4 separate regions of the Mus musculus genome follow, and all the other regions are reported to be linked to region 2. The links are microRNA targets in miRTarBase. Many come from high-throughput screens and were not tested one by one. Region 2 holds a microRNA gene; each other region holds the end of a gene's coding sequence.

Region 1 (3,447 bases), not on the chromosome of region 2:
GTGACTTTATGTTTGAAATGCTCTCTCTCAATCTCAGTGTCTGCAAAAAGCACTCAGTACTGTGGCCTGGGCAGTGGAATCATTCAATAAATTCTGCCCAGCAGGACCACAGGGTATAGCAGGACTTAGGTGTAGAATAAGATCATTGGGAAAAAATTCGGCCATTTGCAGTTAAACCAAGAATGCAGTCCAATAGGCTCATCAGCAGAAGATTCCAGCTCTCCCCCACTCTCCCTCCCAACCTCTTCGCTTCCTTCAGTCATTTCTGTTTATCCCCCATACTCTTTTTTCCTTTTCTCCATTTTCACATTCTCCTTTCTCTATCATCATTTTTTCCTTCTTTCTTTAAAAATTTAGGGGCAACAAAAGGAATCCCACAAATGGATATTGTGGAAAACATAACGCTGAAATGAATAGCTAAAGAAATTGTTGTAAATCAAAAGATAAATTAACTTCATAAGACTGCTATTCTGAAATTGCAACAATCTTGTACAGTCAGGACTGATAAAATGGAGTAATCAGACATTTCAGATGCCCGTCAATGTAAAATCACCTACTTGAACATTATATGCAATACATTCACACAAAAAAGCAAATACTGTAGCCTTATTTGAACAATACTGAACTCATAAATACTCATGGTTTCACTCTGTCCAGGCGCCTAAGGACTATGCTGCTGTAATACAGAAAAACATAGCGGATGCCTCCTCTATTAAAATGTCACTCAAGAAAGTCTCTTCTAACATAAAGGCAAATACATGTAGCTACTGAGCTATGACTGTCCTTTGTCACACTCTATGGAAAAACACCGGACTCCACGAATTCGGAATCATGACAACACTTAGAACTAATTATTTGGTTCATCTGTATTTTATACCTCAGTTTACCTCACATGTACCCTACACACCTTACACAGAGGAGGCATTTTTAACTCTAGGGAAACGGTCACTGTAGAATACGCATTCTCCAACTGCTTCTCTCCCCAAACAGCGGTTCAGGTGGCCAACACTCCATGGTAGCACCGCTATCTCTAAAAGTAGGTTATTGTGGAGTGTGCTACTTTAAAGCTGCAATACAAAGAAAAATAATTCTGTTGTTTGCTCACTAATTCCACAAAGAACATTTTTAGTATCAAATCACCTAGAAATTTAGATGCCATAATTTTCAAAATTCATTTTTAATATATCAATCAAAATGACATAAATTTATTACAGCTAGTAAATTTCATAGCATTATGCCACATTATTGCCATTTCATAGGAAGACTATGTATTTATGTCTCCTCACTTATGATTCATTTTCCTAATTAAAATAGATTTATGGTGTCTTTTGGGTCTAAAATTTGTTTAGAAAAGAATCAAAAATTTAAAGCCATCCTTCCAGGGCAAAACATGAACTACCTAAAATAATCACTGTAAAAGTCCTTGGGTGTAGTTTTGAGAGTAGGTCTTTATTTAGGGTGTGCAGAAGGTCACTGTAGAAACCTAGGCGTGCTGAAATTGGCAACTTCATCAGACCTGAAAAATGGCTTTCAAGGCTCTGGTCTTTTCTTTGGTCAAAAGCAAGACCATGAGCCTATTCCTGTAATATAGTAGTTAGACTAACAGCATTTTCCTTCAAAAATGTAGTTTTGCTTCTTGAATAGAAAAAATGTAATATTCACAATCATTGAGTGATTAACATATCCCATGATGCCCTCCTTCTGGTGTGTCCATTTGGTTGCATCTCACATATGTCCTGTAAGATGCAGTGAAACATGGTGAGTCTTCAGTTTTGGCATCAATTTGAGTGGTAATGACTAACAAGATTTTGGTGAAGAATTAGTTACTTCAGGGCTGATCTGTTATGCATGGATGCCCAATATTTGTTAAAACACATTTTGGAATTGTAAGGAACATAAGATGCATTCCTATCAACCAAAGACGGAGAATCAGATGGAAATCTGCAGGGTTTCTGTCACAGTAACTTACTGATGTCAAAGCCTAATCTGAGCACTCGCCACCTCATGTCTCTTGGGTGGCAGGGCTGTGGTCTATGCAAAGAAGCTATGTTAGGGTATCAACTTGAATAGTGCAGGAGACTGCTGCTTTACCAGGGGTCTCTTGAACAGGCTGTGCTGTCCTGTGATGGGCTATGTTTTCCCACAGTGGCACTAATATTAAACCTGAACTTCAATCATGTTATTAAATTGTTTTATCAAGAAAACTGAGATGCTGTGGGCAAAGTTCTCAGGCTCAATGGGTAATGACTAGACACAGCCTAATAGCTTCTTGGCGCCCCCCAAAGTGGGGTGGAGTTTAGCTTATTGGTGTAATTTACTTTTTTGCTTCCAGATTGCAAGGTTTAGGAAAACATTATGTATTTGTCAGAGACCAAGAGATTATTTTATGAAGGCACACCCATGCTGAGATTAGAAGGAGAAGCATAGCGAGTTATATTACAAGGCTCATTTCCAAAACCTGGATGTCATGCGAGCAGGGACGTCTAGGTATGTGTTACATCTTGAAGAAATGATCTGAAGGCAATATTATTTGAATTTTTATCAAAAAAGAAAAAAATGCATCTTTGTAAATGTGGGTTGACTCTTATTGAAACAGGGCATGGAACCCTTGTATTGCAGCCTTAAAGAATTATGGGTTCACTGCAATATTTGTTATGTAAACTACAGCCGGAAGCCTAGCAGACCACGACTGAATGCTTTTGAAAAGTTGTAGATTACAAACATGAAATCACAATTAATATCCTCTAAAAGTAAGTTCAGACCTTTCACATCTTAAAAAAGGGACAATGTGCAGTGCTTCACAAGGTCGTGTGTCTAATCAAAAGGAGAGGAGAATGAAAGTATTTACACAACCAGCGATTCCACAGACAAAAGGCGTCACCCGCGTACAGACGGCCGATTGTATCCCACGCTGCTTCAAGCTAACTGCACCAGATTGGATCCAGCCATCAGCACTCCCAGAGACTCCTTAAAAGCCTTTCATGGGTCTTTAGATTCATTGAAGGATAGCATTCTTCAGGTAGAATATACTGATGACAGAAGATAGTGTCAACGCAAGGCTCCAGCAGGAGAAGAGGTCGCAGGCACTCCCAGTAATTCCATACTGGGCTGTACTTGGAGCTGGAAAGGAATGGAAGAGAGTCAGTCAAATATAGTTCTCACCTTCTGGTATTCTTGACAATATCCAACTGGGGTGGTGCTGGGGGCAGAAATGGTTAGCCTCATCCGGCCTACTAGATTAACCTTTGAGGTCAGTTTTTTTAAGGGCAAAAGAGCCATAATAAAATCCACCTCCCAGAGCTGTGGTGTAAACTGGAAATGAGCTTCTGGACCCAATAAGGTCCAATGATGCTCTTACTCCTCCTAAGTGTACAATAATTATTTGCGTTCACAGGCAATATTCACTTATGCAGACATTTGCGAAGCTTTCATGGAACAGCCAAATAC
Region 2 (3,447 bases):
TTCATAGTCGCCAGTCATCATCTCTACATCATCCCAGGACATTATCGCTTGCCATGGTGGTACATATGATGTTTACTTTTGTATATGTTTGAAATTTTACATCAATCACTGTGTTACTCTGTTGTTCTCTATGATTACCAATTAATGAATATTTAGAATTGTGTTGCTAATCTTAACCCATTGTCAGACATTAAATTTACATTTTCACATTTCACTTTTATAAAACCCACTTCTGTGTAATGTTTATTTTTCTGAAGAACTACACTGATGAAGGGAAAACATGTTACTATGTATGACCATGTTGTTGCAGAAGAGCTGGGGACCGCCACAGTCAAGCAGGGGAGATAGTGGGCTGGAGTAAGCAGGTACAGCCTGCTAAGCCTGCACACTACAAGCTAGGACGGTGGCCTGTGTGGATAGACAGAGTCGGTCGGGGCGCCTCTTCACTGCCTCCTGCAGACATTTCTCTAGAAACTTGTAAGCTGAGGGATTGTTGGTATGTGGTGTGTGAAGGTCACACAGTAAAGCCACTGTTCCCTTTTTAGGTCCCTAGGCCTTCACTTAGGAAAGCCATAGTCACATAGTGGTCCTAGTGACTCTTCTAAGAGTATTTTTGCCCCCTGAGTGAGCAAATCCTCAACTTGCTAGGTCCCCTATGAGCTCTGTGCTATGCCTCAGCTTATCCAACCAAATGCTTGGTCACAGGCAAGCCAGAGAGATGCTCCCTCCCTACACACCACACCTGCTGTCTGAGGGGCCCAGAGACATCCCAACCCATTCAGTCTGCAATTGGAGAACAGGGTGTGTCCCAGGGTTAAAGGCCACATACTCAGAGCAAGGATGGTCCCTAAGGTATTGGTCTCATAGCTGATAAGTGTGTCCTTTGTCTCCCAGTCCCCTATGCTCCTCTATACAGTGCAGCCAGCGCGCTGAAGGACAGCAGGCTGCACTGCTAGCGTGGTGGGCTCAGAGGCGGTTTGGAGGACACTCAGCACATGTGGATGGGAGTGGTTGGGCATGGTGCTGCCCTCACCTGCTCTGGCTGCTTGGGTTCCTGGCATGCTGATTTGTGACTTGAGATTAAAATCACATTGCCAGGGATTACCACGCAACCATGACCTTGGCTGCTCCTGCAGAACCGTGGCTACTTTCTCTCTGCAGTTTGGAGAACAGAGGCGCCTTGTGGCTCTTTGGAAACAAAAGAAGCCAACAGCCTTCGAAGATGCTCACCAGCCCTTTAATTATGGCCGGCGATGACCTCTCTAACAAGGTGCAGAGCTTAGCTGATTGGTGAACAGTGATTGGTTTCCGCTTTGTTCACAGTGGCTAAGTTCTGCACCTGAAGAGAAGGTGAGATGGGGACAGTTAACTTGCAGCTGCCAGGCAGAGGCCACTGCCTGGTGGTCACTCCAGAGGAGGAGAGACCAGCCTGCCTCAAGGCTGTGTTGTCAAGAGTGCAAACAGCGTGCTGACCACCCTTAAGTGTGTCTACAGAAAATACAGTTCTACTGCTAATTAGTTCACTGTAATGTCAAGTGTATTGGGAGTCACAGAAAACTAAACCCAGGTGCATCAAGGAAACTGAGCCAACCTTGTCTCAGCTGATGCCACACGTGATGGGTGGGGGTGTGGTTCTTTGTCCCTGCTGGGCGTGGTGAACTCTTTCTTGTATTTGCAGTCCAGGTCTCCATGTCTCCACAGTCGCTGGCAAGATGATGCCCAGGGCACGCCAGGAGGCACTGCCCAGCTGTGATTGGACCCGCCCTCCGGTGCCTACTGAGCTGATATCAGTTCTCATTTCACACACTGGCTCAGTTCAGCAGGAACAGGAGTCGAGCCCTTGAGCAAAAAGCCTACCCATCTGTAAGTGCCTGAGGCAGGCCTCCCACGGAGAAGAAGATGAAGGGCCTGAGTGTCTGGTACCAGACCCAACAGCAGTGGTATCCCTCTGTATGTGCTCCCGAGGTGGGGATTTGTAGAGTGCAGAGCTAACCTTGGAAAGTTTGCATTCCCTAGAAGCAGGTAGGGCAGGCGCTGAGCATTTGCCACGTGTTGGGGCAGAGCACACCATGTCACCGCTGCCTTGAGCAGTGAGAATGCCTGTCTGAAGGGCCTTGTCTGTAGAGCCTTTCTGAACCTCTCTGGGCTTCACAGCCCTGCATGGCCTGTGCCGTGACTGTGCACCCCAGACCCAGGATTGTGAGGTGTGGCTTCAGTGTTGCCCCTGTCCTCCCATGAAAAGTTCCCTCTCAAGTGGAGGTCAGAGGCTGGGAGGACTCCTGTTGGAATGGCTGTGGTGACTGGGTAATAAATTTTATTGCTGTTTCCTCCACAGGACAGATCACAGTGAGATTCTCATATACCTTCTCCTAGCCCTGGTGGGGCCAGGACTGCACTGACCCTGGACATCAAAGGGAGGATTATGTGGCTGCTAAGGCCATCAGCCCACAGCAGTGGTTGGTCCATCTTGGGCTTCCAGAGACTGGGCTCCCGTGGCATATATAAAAGGCGGAGCCTCATAAACTGTTGCACCTGGCAGCTGCCTTTGTTCCCAGTCCTAGAGAGACTGAGTCTACACACTGGAATTGAGCTGTGACTTTAAGGCAGTCATTCAATGAAGGACACCCTCCCCTAGGCAGATGGAGAGCCGGTTGCCTGCTTCCTGTGATTGCAAAAACTAGCTGCCATGCTCTGAGACTGCAGAATCATGTGACACCTCCTGTGGCTGGTCCCCAAGGATTCTGCAAAGCCCTTTTGATGTGTTCAGTCAACAGAGCATTCCTGTTTTTGAAAATGCAGGAAAGCCTAAAATGTCTTAATAAAGTACCAGATTTGCTAGTGTTCCAGTTTGCTTCTGAATTTGATGCTCCTTAAAAGCAAAGAAGAACGTGTGTCAGAACAGGCACTTTCCACACACTTCCTACCTCCAGGTAATGTTAATTCTAAAAAGGTTGGAAGTAAAGGGAAATTAGTGTGGCTTGGGACTCTGCTCTCTTCCAAATGTGGAGTTTCAGCCAGCCTGGTACTAGCGGAGTCTCAGAACAAGCTCTAAGCTCTTTCAGTCACTGTCTAGAGAACGGTGCTTGAGACTGAGCCATCAGTGCAGTCACATGAGCCCAGCCAAGGCAGAGCGGTGGACAGAGGAACCAGAAGGAGCATCCCACTGGCTGGCCAGGCTTCTGCACCCAGACCTGCTGGGTGACAAAGGCTCTAGGACAGACTGAGAGGAGCGTCCGCACAGAACCATTGGTTTTCAGAGCCTGGGCTGTAGCAGTGACTGCATTTGGATGGTTGCAGGGGACTTGCAAATGGTTATCTGCTTTGTATACCACAATGGTACAAGTATCAAAGTGTGTTAATTCTACTTAATGTTACCCTGATTTCTGTGAAGACTTGAAATAAATGGCTGAGTCTATGCCTTCCTGCTCTCAGAAGCACTCTGGCCTT
Region 3 (3,447 bases), not on the chromosome of region 2:
GCTGCCTGATCAACTATGGAGGCCGAAGCAGGCGGCCTGGAGGAGCTGACGGACGAGGAGATGGCGGCGCTGGGTAAGGAGGAGCTGGTGCGGCGCCTGCGGCGGGAGGAGGCGGCGCGCCTGGCAGCGCTAGTGCAGCGCGGCCGCCTGATGCAGGAGGTGAATCGGCAGCTGCAGGGTCACCTGGGCGAGATCCGTGAGCTCAAACAGCTCAACCGGCGCCTGCAGGCGGAGAACCGGGAGCTGCGCGACCTCTGCTGCTTTCTGGACTCGGAGCGCCAACGAGGACGGCGTGCGGCGCGCCAGTGGCAGCTCTTTGGGACCCAAGCATCCCGGGCGGTGCGCGAGGACCTGGGTGGCTGTTGGCAGAAGCTAGCGGAGCTGGAAGGCCGCCAGGAGGAGCTGCTGCGGGAAAATCTGGCCCTTAAGGAGCTTTGCTTAGCACTGGGCGAAGAGTGGGGCCCCCGCGGTGGCCCCGGCGGCGCAGTGGGCTCAGGTGCTGGGCCCACACCCGAGCTCGCCCTGCCACCGTGCGGGCCCCGCGACCTAGGCGATGGAAGTTCCAGCACTGGCAGTGTGGGCAGCCCGGATCAGTTGCCCCTAGCCTGCTCCCCTGATGACTGAGGGCGCCGCATTTTCCACGCCAATGCCTGCCTGGATTGCTCCCTGAGCTCGGGGAATGCTGTGGACCTCCAGACCTGGTCGTAGCTTCGGCTGAGCACCAGGGCGCTGGAATGGACTGGAAAAGCCCTGGCACTGAGGAGGGCTCCTTGCTCTTGCTGGCAGAGCAGCAGGGGAAATGGAGGCTGAAGTGGAGGGACTTGCTGTGTGGTTGGGTGGGGACTAATAAACTGGGAAGGAAGCAGAGCCCGAAGCCTGGCCAGCTTGTGTCTAGAACTCGCCGGGGTTGGGAAGAGGGCGTAAACCCAGAGATGCAGTGCAGTTCTCATCCGGAGGAACTGCAGAGCTAGGGCTGACTCCCTATTACCTGGGATTGGGGTGGGATTTGAGACGGTGGTAGACCACTAACTCCCCCGATGGGCGCCAAGACAGGCTGAAATCCGGCCGCTGTAGTGGCTCCAGCTCCCTTCCAGGCTCCTTCCTGTCTAAAACAATGGGACAGGAAGCAGGTGTTGGGGGCCTAAAGCCCACTGAACCGCCTGCATGGATGGTGGAAGGATATACCACCGGCCTTCCCTGCCCCCCCCCCAGTCCTTAAGACAGGAGCAGTGTGGGTTCCCATGGGGAAAATAATTGATAATCTTCTTTGCTTGCACTCCAGAGCATTCTTAGTCTCTCAGTATAGGAGACAAGGAAGAGCAGAGGGTCGCCCCATTCTTCAGGTGAGAATATGGAAGTCCAAAAACATATGGTAGTTTCTTCAAGGTCAATGCTGAGACTGGAACCTGGAACTCCTGTTCCAAATGGTCTCCTTTAGCCTCTGGATCCAACATGACAACCCAGACTAGAGCTTCAAGCCTTTTATTCCATTTTGGAAGGTTTGTATAAAAATAGTCTCTTTAGGAAAATAAATAGCAGCTGCCCTTGCGGTGGAGGCTCGGATACCCTGAAGCTAAGCGCTTCTCAGAGCTAGGGAGTGCAGCTCCGCTCCTCACAGAAGCCCCTGGCGCCTCCTGCGTTGTGCCATTCAGGAGGAGCCTGCAGGATGTCCGGTGCTGCTGGCTGTTGATGCTGTGTGAGTTAGTGTTCTAGGCTAGTCAAAGGGCACCTTCTGTCTAGGTGTAGAGTAGGCTGGATAACATGAAGAAAGTGACGTGGTGTGGGAAAGTGGTCTGCAAGGGGTAAGGGTGTCAAAGGACCCCTGGGGATCTACAAAGTCTGGGCTGCCAGGCGTTCTCTGGCAGAGGGAACATATTTTCCTCTAATTTTGTGCAAATTATGATAGGCCAGCTCTAGAAAAACAGTGAGCAGCTTTGGGGATCCCCTCCAAGCTGGCTCTACATCAAAGCATAATGTGTTTGTTCTAGTCGGAAGAGATAAAAGATCTGCTGGTTTGGGGCAAGGGTATGGTCCAGGCCTGCTGGATCAATGGGAGAAAGGGGATGGCTTGGAGTAGCACCAGCAAGGGATGTGGCTGGGTGCCTCACAAAGCCAGGAGTGTAGGAGAGCCCAGGGGGTCGGAGGAGGGGTCGCCACTGCTGCTGCTACTCTTTCGGTGAGCGGAGGAGCAAGGTTCTGGTGTGCTAGGATAGGTGAAAACCAGACTCGGAGTAAAAGGAGTCAGAGAGGGTGTGGTCATGAGCGTGGGGGTATGCAGTGCTTCCGGTTCAAGTACGGGTCCTGGAGAAAGGGAGATGCAAGGCACTGGGCGGCCGGGGGCTGGTGGGCTGCTAGCACCGCTGGTGCTGCCAGAACCACCTGGGTCCTTCTTGTCTCCTTCTGGGATTTTGCAGATGGGGCGATGGGCTTCCAGCACCAGCTCAAGGCGTTCCTTCTGCTTCTGCAGCTCTTCAATCTCTCGCTGCAGCCCCGATTTCTCATCCTCCAATTTGTCGGTCTCCTTTACAGGATTAGCAGAAAGATAGGAAAATGAAGGCTAAAGATCCCCAAGCCTCAGGCTGGAGTAGGGACTGTGCCTGTCATCCCCAACAAGTCTGGACTGCAACTCCCTCCCGTGAGCCTCTGGGAGAAAATGGCCATGACTCCCATCAGACGGGGGCATCTTAGGAGAATTGCTGCCTACCATCTTCGACTCTGCCTCGAAGCCCGACAAACAATATTTAAGCCACTTTCCCTTATCCTTTTTCCAGGACTTCCCCACAGGCAGGGAGGATGACAGAGTCCTGAGGAGTAATTTTGGGTCTTTTGTGTTCTTGGGAGCCGAGACCCCTCTTGGGGCTCTGTGGGTCCGGGCCTGGGGATGATGCTCACCGCCTGCAGGAAGTCTGTCAGCTCCTTTCTTCGGTTTCTGCACTTAGCAGCTGCTAGCTTGTTCCGCTCGCGTCTCACCCTGCGGCGCTCTTCCTCCTCTGGGCTGATCTAGGTTGGGATAGAAGAAGGGAGACAATGAGGCTGACTCTGAGCCACCAGCTGCCCTGAGCTGGTCATCCAGCTTTCCTTCAGTCTGTAGTCTAGGTGCCACCACCCAACACTCCACAGTTGCTTCTCTGTACCGGACGCTTGTCATCTCATTGGTGACATTTCCAGCTCACACACACCTAGCTTTACTGCTGGTTTCTTTCCTGAAATGCTTTCCCTCTCTGTAAACTTTGATCTTCCTCCCTTCCGCATCTTAGGACTGGACTAAGATGTTGGGACCCCAGGAAGCCTTTTCATTTCTCAGGCAGAAGTAGCCTTCTCTCCTGAGTGTATGAGACATGATTATCTCTTTTCACAGGACTCTCAGCCTCCTCATCTGTGGAAGATGGGATTTCTTCCCCCAGGAGCTGTGAATTGTAGAAGGTGCTCTTGAGTGCCAAAAGCTAC
Region 4 (3,382 bases), not on the chromosome of region 2:
TTATCTATCTACCTATCTACCTTTCACTCATCCATCCTTCTGTCCACTCAGCATCCCAAGAGATATTAATAAAGTGTTCACTGAGCACTGGGGTCTATTCTAGGCTCTTGGGAGTCTGGTGAGAGGGAGTCAAAACGTCCTGCCCTTGTAGACCTTGTGTTGTGTTGGGGGAGGGAAATTGGTTTAGCAATCAATCCTGTAAATAGGCAGAATATGTGATCATTCAAATGATGGTAAAGTTCTACGGAGAACAGTTGAGAGAGAGAGTGTGTGGAGTGTGTGGTGCTTACTACGATAAGCAGGGTGACTGGAAGGCTTCACTGACGAGGTGACACATGAGCATAGACTTTTAGGAGTCGGAGGGCCATCCTCATGTGTGTACAGAGGAGAAGTCAGCAGTAAGTGTGAAAGCCCCAAGGCAAGAGGGGTCCAACCTGCTGTGATGAGGCATGAAAATGACAGTGGCTTTTCTGATGGGTTTCTCTTCTCTCTGCAGATCGGCTGGTTCCCTTCTAACTATGTGGAGGAAGACTATTCCGAATATTGCTGAGCCTGGTGCCCTGTAGGACACAGAGAGAGGCAGATGAAGGCTGAGCCCAGGATGCTAGCAGGGTTGAGGGGCCATGAACTGTCCTCACCAGCGGAGGATCTGGATGGCGTGCAGATGGCTAGTGGCCAGCTGGCAGGGTTCCCAGGATAAAGCCCAGAGATGCGTAATTTATAACACACTGATTTTCTCCAGTCCTCCACGAAAGGTGGGGCTTGAGGCAACTGATTCTAATAAAGTGAGGAGAGCAGGAACTGGCGTGTTCCAGACTGACTGTAAGGGGAGCCACAGGGTGGGCACGCACTGACCAAAGTTCACTCAAGCAATGCCCTCCTTGTGTCAAGGCCTCCCTTCTCTGACTTTTACAGTACAGGTTGAAGGAGACCTGGGATTTCTACGCAGCAGAAGAGAGTGCTGTCTTTACAGGGTCTGGATTGCAGAAATCAAGTCTATACCTCCCCTTCCCTTCTTTTTGTCCTCAACGCCAAGGAAAGACCTCTTGACCTCAGCATGATAGGAAGACACACTACAGCTGAGCGCCTCACTGGGAGATTCTAGGCAGGGGATCCACCACAACCATTCCCTAACTCCTCACTGGGGGGATTCTGGGTGGGGCTCCACCCCCTGACCACGCCCCAGCCCTTATTGTGGGCTTCTGGTAGTGGGGTTGGGGGAGGGGAGGGGACTCTACTGCTGTGCCACACTCCCAGTCCTTTAAAATCTTCGAGACAAGGTCTTGCTAAATAGGCCAGACTGACCTTGAACATATTGCAGCTGGACTTCAACTTGTCATCCTCCTGCCTCAGCTTCCTTATAATAGAAGTTAATGTTTTGAGTTCTCTCCTTCCGCTGAGTAAGGGAAAAAAACCTCAATATATTCTCTCTTCCCCCCCCCCCTTTATTATATATATGAGTACGCCCTCGCTGTCTTCACACACACCAGAAGAGGGCATCAGATCCCATTACAGATGATTGTGAGACACCATGTGGTTGCTGGGATTCGAACTCAGGACCTCTGGAAGAGCAGTCAGTGCTCTTAACCCCTGAGCCATCTCTCCAACCTCTCAAAATAAGCTCTTCAAAAATCTAGGGTAAATCCTATAAACCTTGGCTCTGGTGTACTGAGGAGATAGCCAGCTCTCCTTTGCTGCCTTGCTTCCTGTGGAGACGACATTGCTCACATCAGAACCCTTCTTGGCCCGCCAGGTAGAACAACCGCACGCACTCTGGTTTACCCAGGCTCATTTTGCCTGTTGCCCTGGTGTAGTTATCTGTGACCTGTGTCCTACTTTGATTTTTGTTGCTGTGGCAAACGACTTGACCTAATGCTCCCCGCGGAGGAAAAGATGTATGTTTTGGCTACACTTCCAGTGTCCACAGTTTGTCACTGATGGAAGTCAGGGCAGGAGCTGAATCAGGAGCTGAAGCAGGGGCCAGGGGGCGGGGGATGCTCTTACTGGCTCATTATTGGCTTTATGCCCAGCTACCATCCTTTCTTCTTTTTCAGTAATAAAGTTTTTACTTACTTTATAGCCAGATGGCAGCTTCCCATCCTTCTTCTCTTCCAAGCTCCCCCGCCCCTCCCCCGCCCCTCCCCTTCCCCCTCCCCCACCCCTCCCCCTTGCTTTCCTCCTCTGAAAAGGGGAGGCCTCCTGTGGTGGCAGTTGCTGTAAGATGAGGCACCTCCTCTCCTGTTGAGGCTGGATGAAGCAACCCAGTAGGAGGAAAGGGTCCCAGAGGCAGGCAACAGGGTCAGAGACAGCCCTGTCTCCTGCTTTGGGACTTCCACACGAAGACCCAGTTACACAACTGTGGCATATATAGAGAGGGCCTAGGCTCATCCCAATGCATGCTCCTGGTTGGCAGTTCGGTCTCCGTGAGATTCTTTGGGCACAAGTTTGTTGATCCTGTGGGTTTTGTTGTGAGTACCCTTCACTCCTTTGGCTCCTTCAATTCTTCATCCCCCTCTTCCACAGGGTTCTCCAAGCCCTGCCTAATATTTGACTGTGGGTCTCTGCATCTATTTCCATCAGTTGCTCAGCTGGTTTCGTTATATAGCCCTGGACCACCTGTTTAGGGATGGTTCCATCCATATCAGGCAACATCAGTTAAGATGATCTCTCACAGACATGGCCACAGGCCAGTCTAATCTGGTCAGTTACTCAGTGTAGACTCTCTCAGAGTAGCTGTGTTGACAGCTAGAGCTAACCAGGCACTCTGTTTCATTCTCCAAAGTGTCACATTTTCGTGGCACCTGCTCTTCTCATTGGTGGGATAAGATACTCTGGGAAATGCAATTCAGGAAGAAAGATTTATCATGGTCCCCATCCCAGTCCACCACAGCAGGGAAGGCATGGTGGCAGGCGTGTGAGCTGCCTGATCACCCAGCATCCACAGTTACAAAGTGGAGAGGTGAATGCTGGTGTTCAGAGCAGCACCCCAGCCCACGGGATGGGGCCACTCACAGTCAGTTAGCCTAATCAAGTTAATCCCTTACCCATCGCCAGAGAATGGATTCCCATATGATTCTCAAGCATGTCCATAGCACCACCATCGTAATTTTGGTGTCTTAGGCTGTGCCATCTGCAGTCAGAGCCCAAGATAAGGATTTGGGGCTATAAGGTCTCCCTGGGATGTTCCACAGGATCTCCAGAAGAGAGAGAGGTGCCACATTATCTGTATCTTCTTTTCTTCTTGTGCATATATGCACGTGTGTTCATATGTGTGCCAGTGCACATGTAAATGTAAGTATGCCTGCACATGTGTCATTGCTCATGGGTCGTCATTGTTTCTTTTGAGACAGGGTCTCTCTCTTGTCTGGAACACTGTCAGTGA

The links. The annotated mature microRNA mmu-miR-24-3p reads UGGCUCAGUUCAGCAGGAACAG and lies in region 2 at 1,808-1,829, shown strand. An mRNA with a match to its seed (bases 2 to 7 or 8) in the 3' UTR can be bound and repressed. Matches are read on the target gene's strand: a 7mer-m8 pairs with bases 2 to 8, a 7mer-A1 pairs with bases 2 to 7 and ends in A, and an 8mer does both.
Region 1: miRTarBase lists Negr1 as a target of mmu-miR-24-3p. The part of its 3' UTR that is shown has no 7-base or 8-base seed match.
Region 3: miRTarBase lists Ccdc85b as a target of mmu-miR-24-3p. Seed matches in the 3' UTR shown: 8mer at 3,040-3,047.
Region 4: miRTarBase lists Vav1 as a target of mmu-miR-24-3p. Seed matches in the 3' UTR shown: 7mer-m8 at 591-597 and 8mer at 1,591-1,598.

Annotation. Positions count from the first base shown.
Region 1 is chr3:157,312,459-157,315,905 of GRCm38, reverse strand. It overlaps Negr1 (neuronal growth regulator 1), which reads right to left. Exons shown (of 7, transcript NM_001039094.3): 7 at 1-3,120. The coding sequence ends at 2,996. Among named protein-coding and RNA genes, the nearest start is that of Gm22458, 52 kb to the left of the region's middle.
Region 2 is chr13:63,299,444-63,302,890 of GRCm38, forward strand. It overlaps Mir24-1 (microRNA 24-1), which reads left to right and starts at 1,765; the gene lies at 1,765-1,832. Aopep (aminopeptidase O) reads left to right here. Exons shown (of 16, transcript NM_001289926.1): 16 at 1-3,434. It overlaps Mir23b (microRNA 23b), which reads left to right and starts at 1,041; the gene lies at 1,041-1,114. Mir27b (microRNA 27b) reads left to right here and starts at 1,269; the gene lies at 1,269-1,341. It also overlaps Mir3074-1 and a transcript of Fancc not described here.
Region 3 is chr19:5,453,966-5,457,412 of GRCm38, reverse strand. It overlaps Ccdc85b (coiled-coil domain containing 85B), which reads left to right. Exons shown (of 1, transcript NM_198616.4): 1 at 1-3,447. The coding sequence starts at 16. The coding sequence ends at 624. It overlaps Fosl1 (fos-like antigen 1), which reads right to left. Exons shown (of 4, transcript NM_010235.2): 3 at 2,893-3,000; 4 at 1,475-2,521. The coding sequence ends at 2,105. Among named protein-coding and RNA genes, the nearest start is that of Ccdc85b, 1.9 kb to the left of the region's middle.
Region 4 is chr17:57,327,155-57,330,536 of GRCm38, forward strand. Vav1 (vav 1 oncogene) reads left to right here. Exons shown (of 27, transcript NM_011691.4): 27 at 497-2,082. The coding sequence ends at 550. Among named protein-coding and RNA genes, the nearest start is that of Adgre1, 30 kb to the right of the region's middle.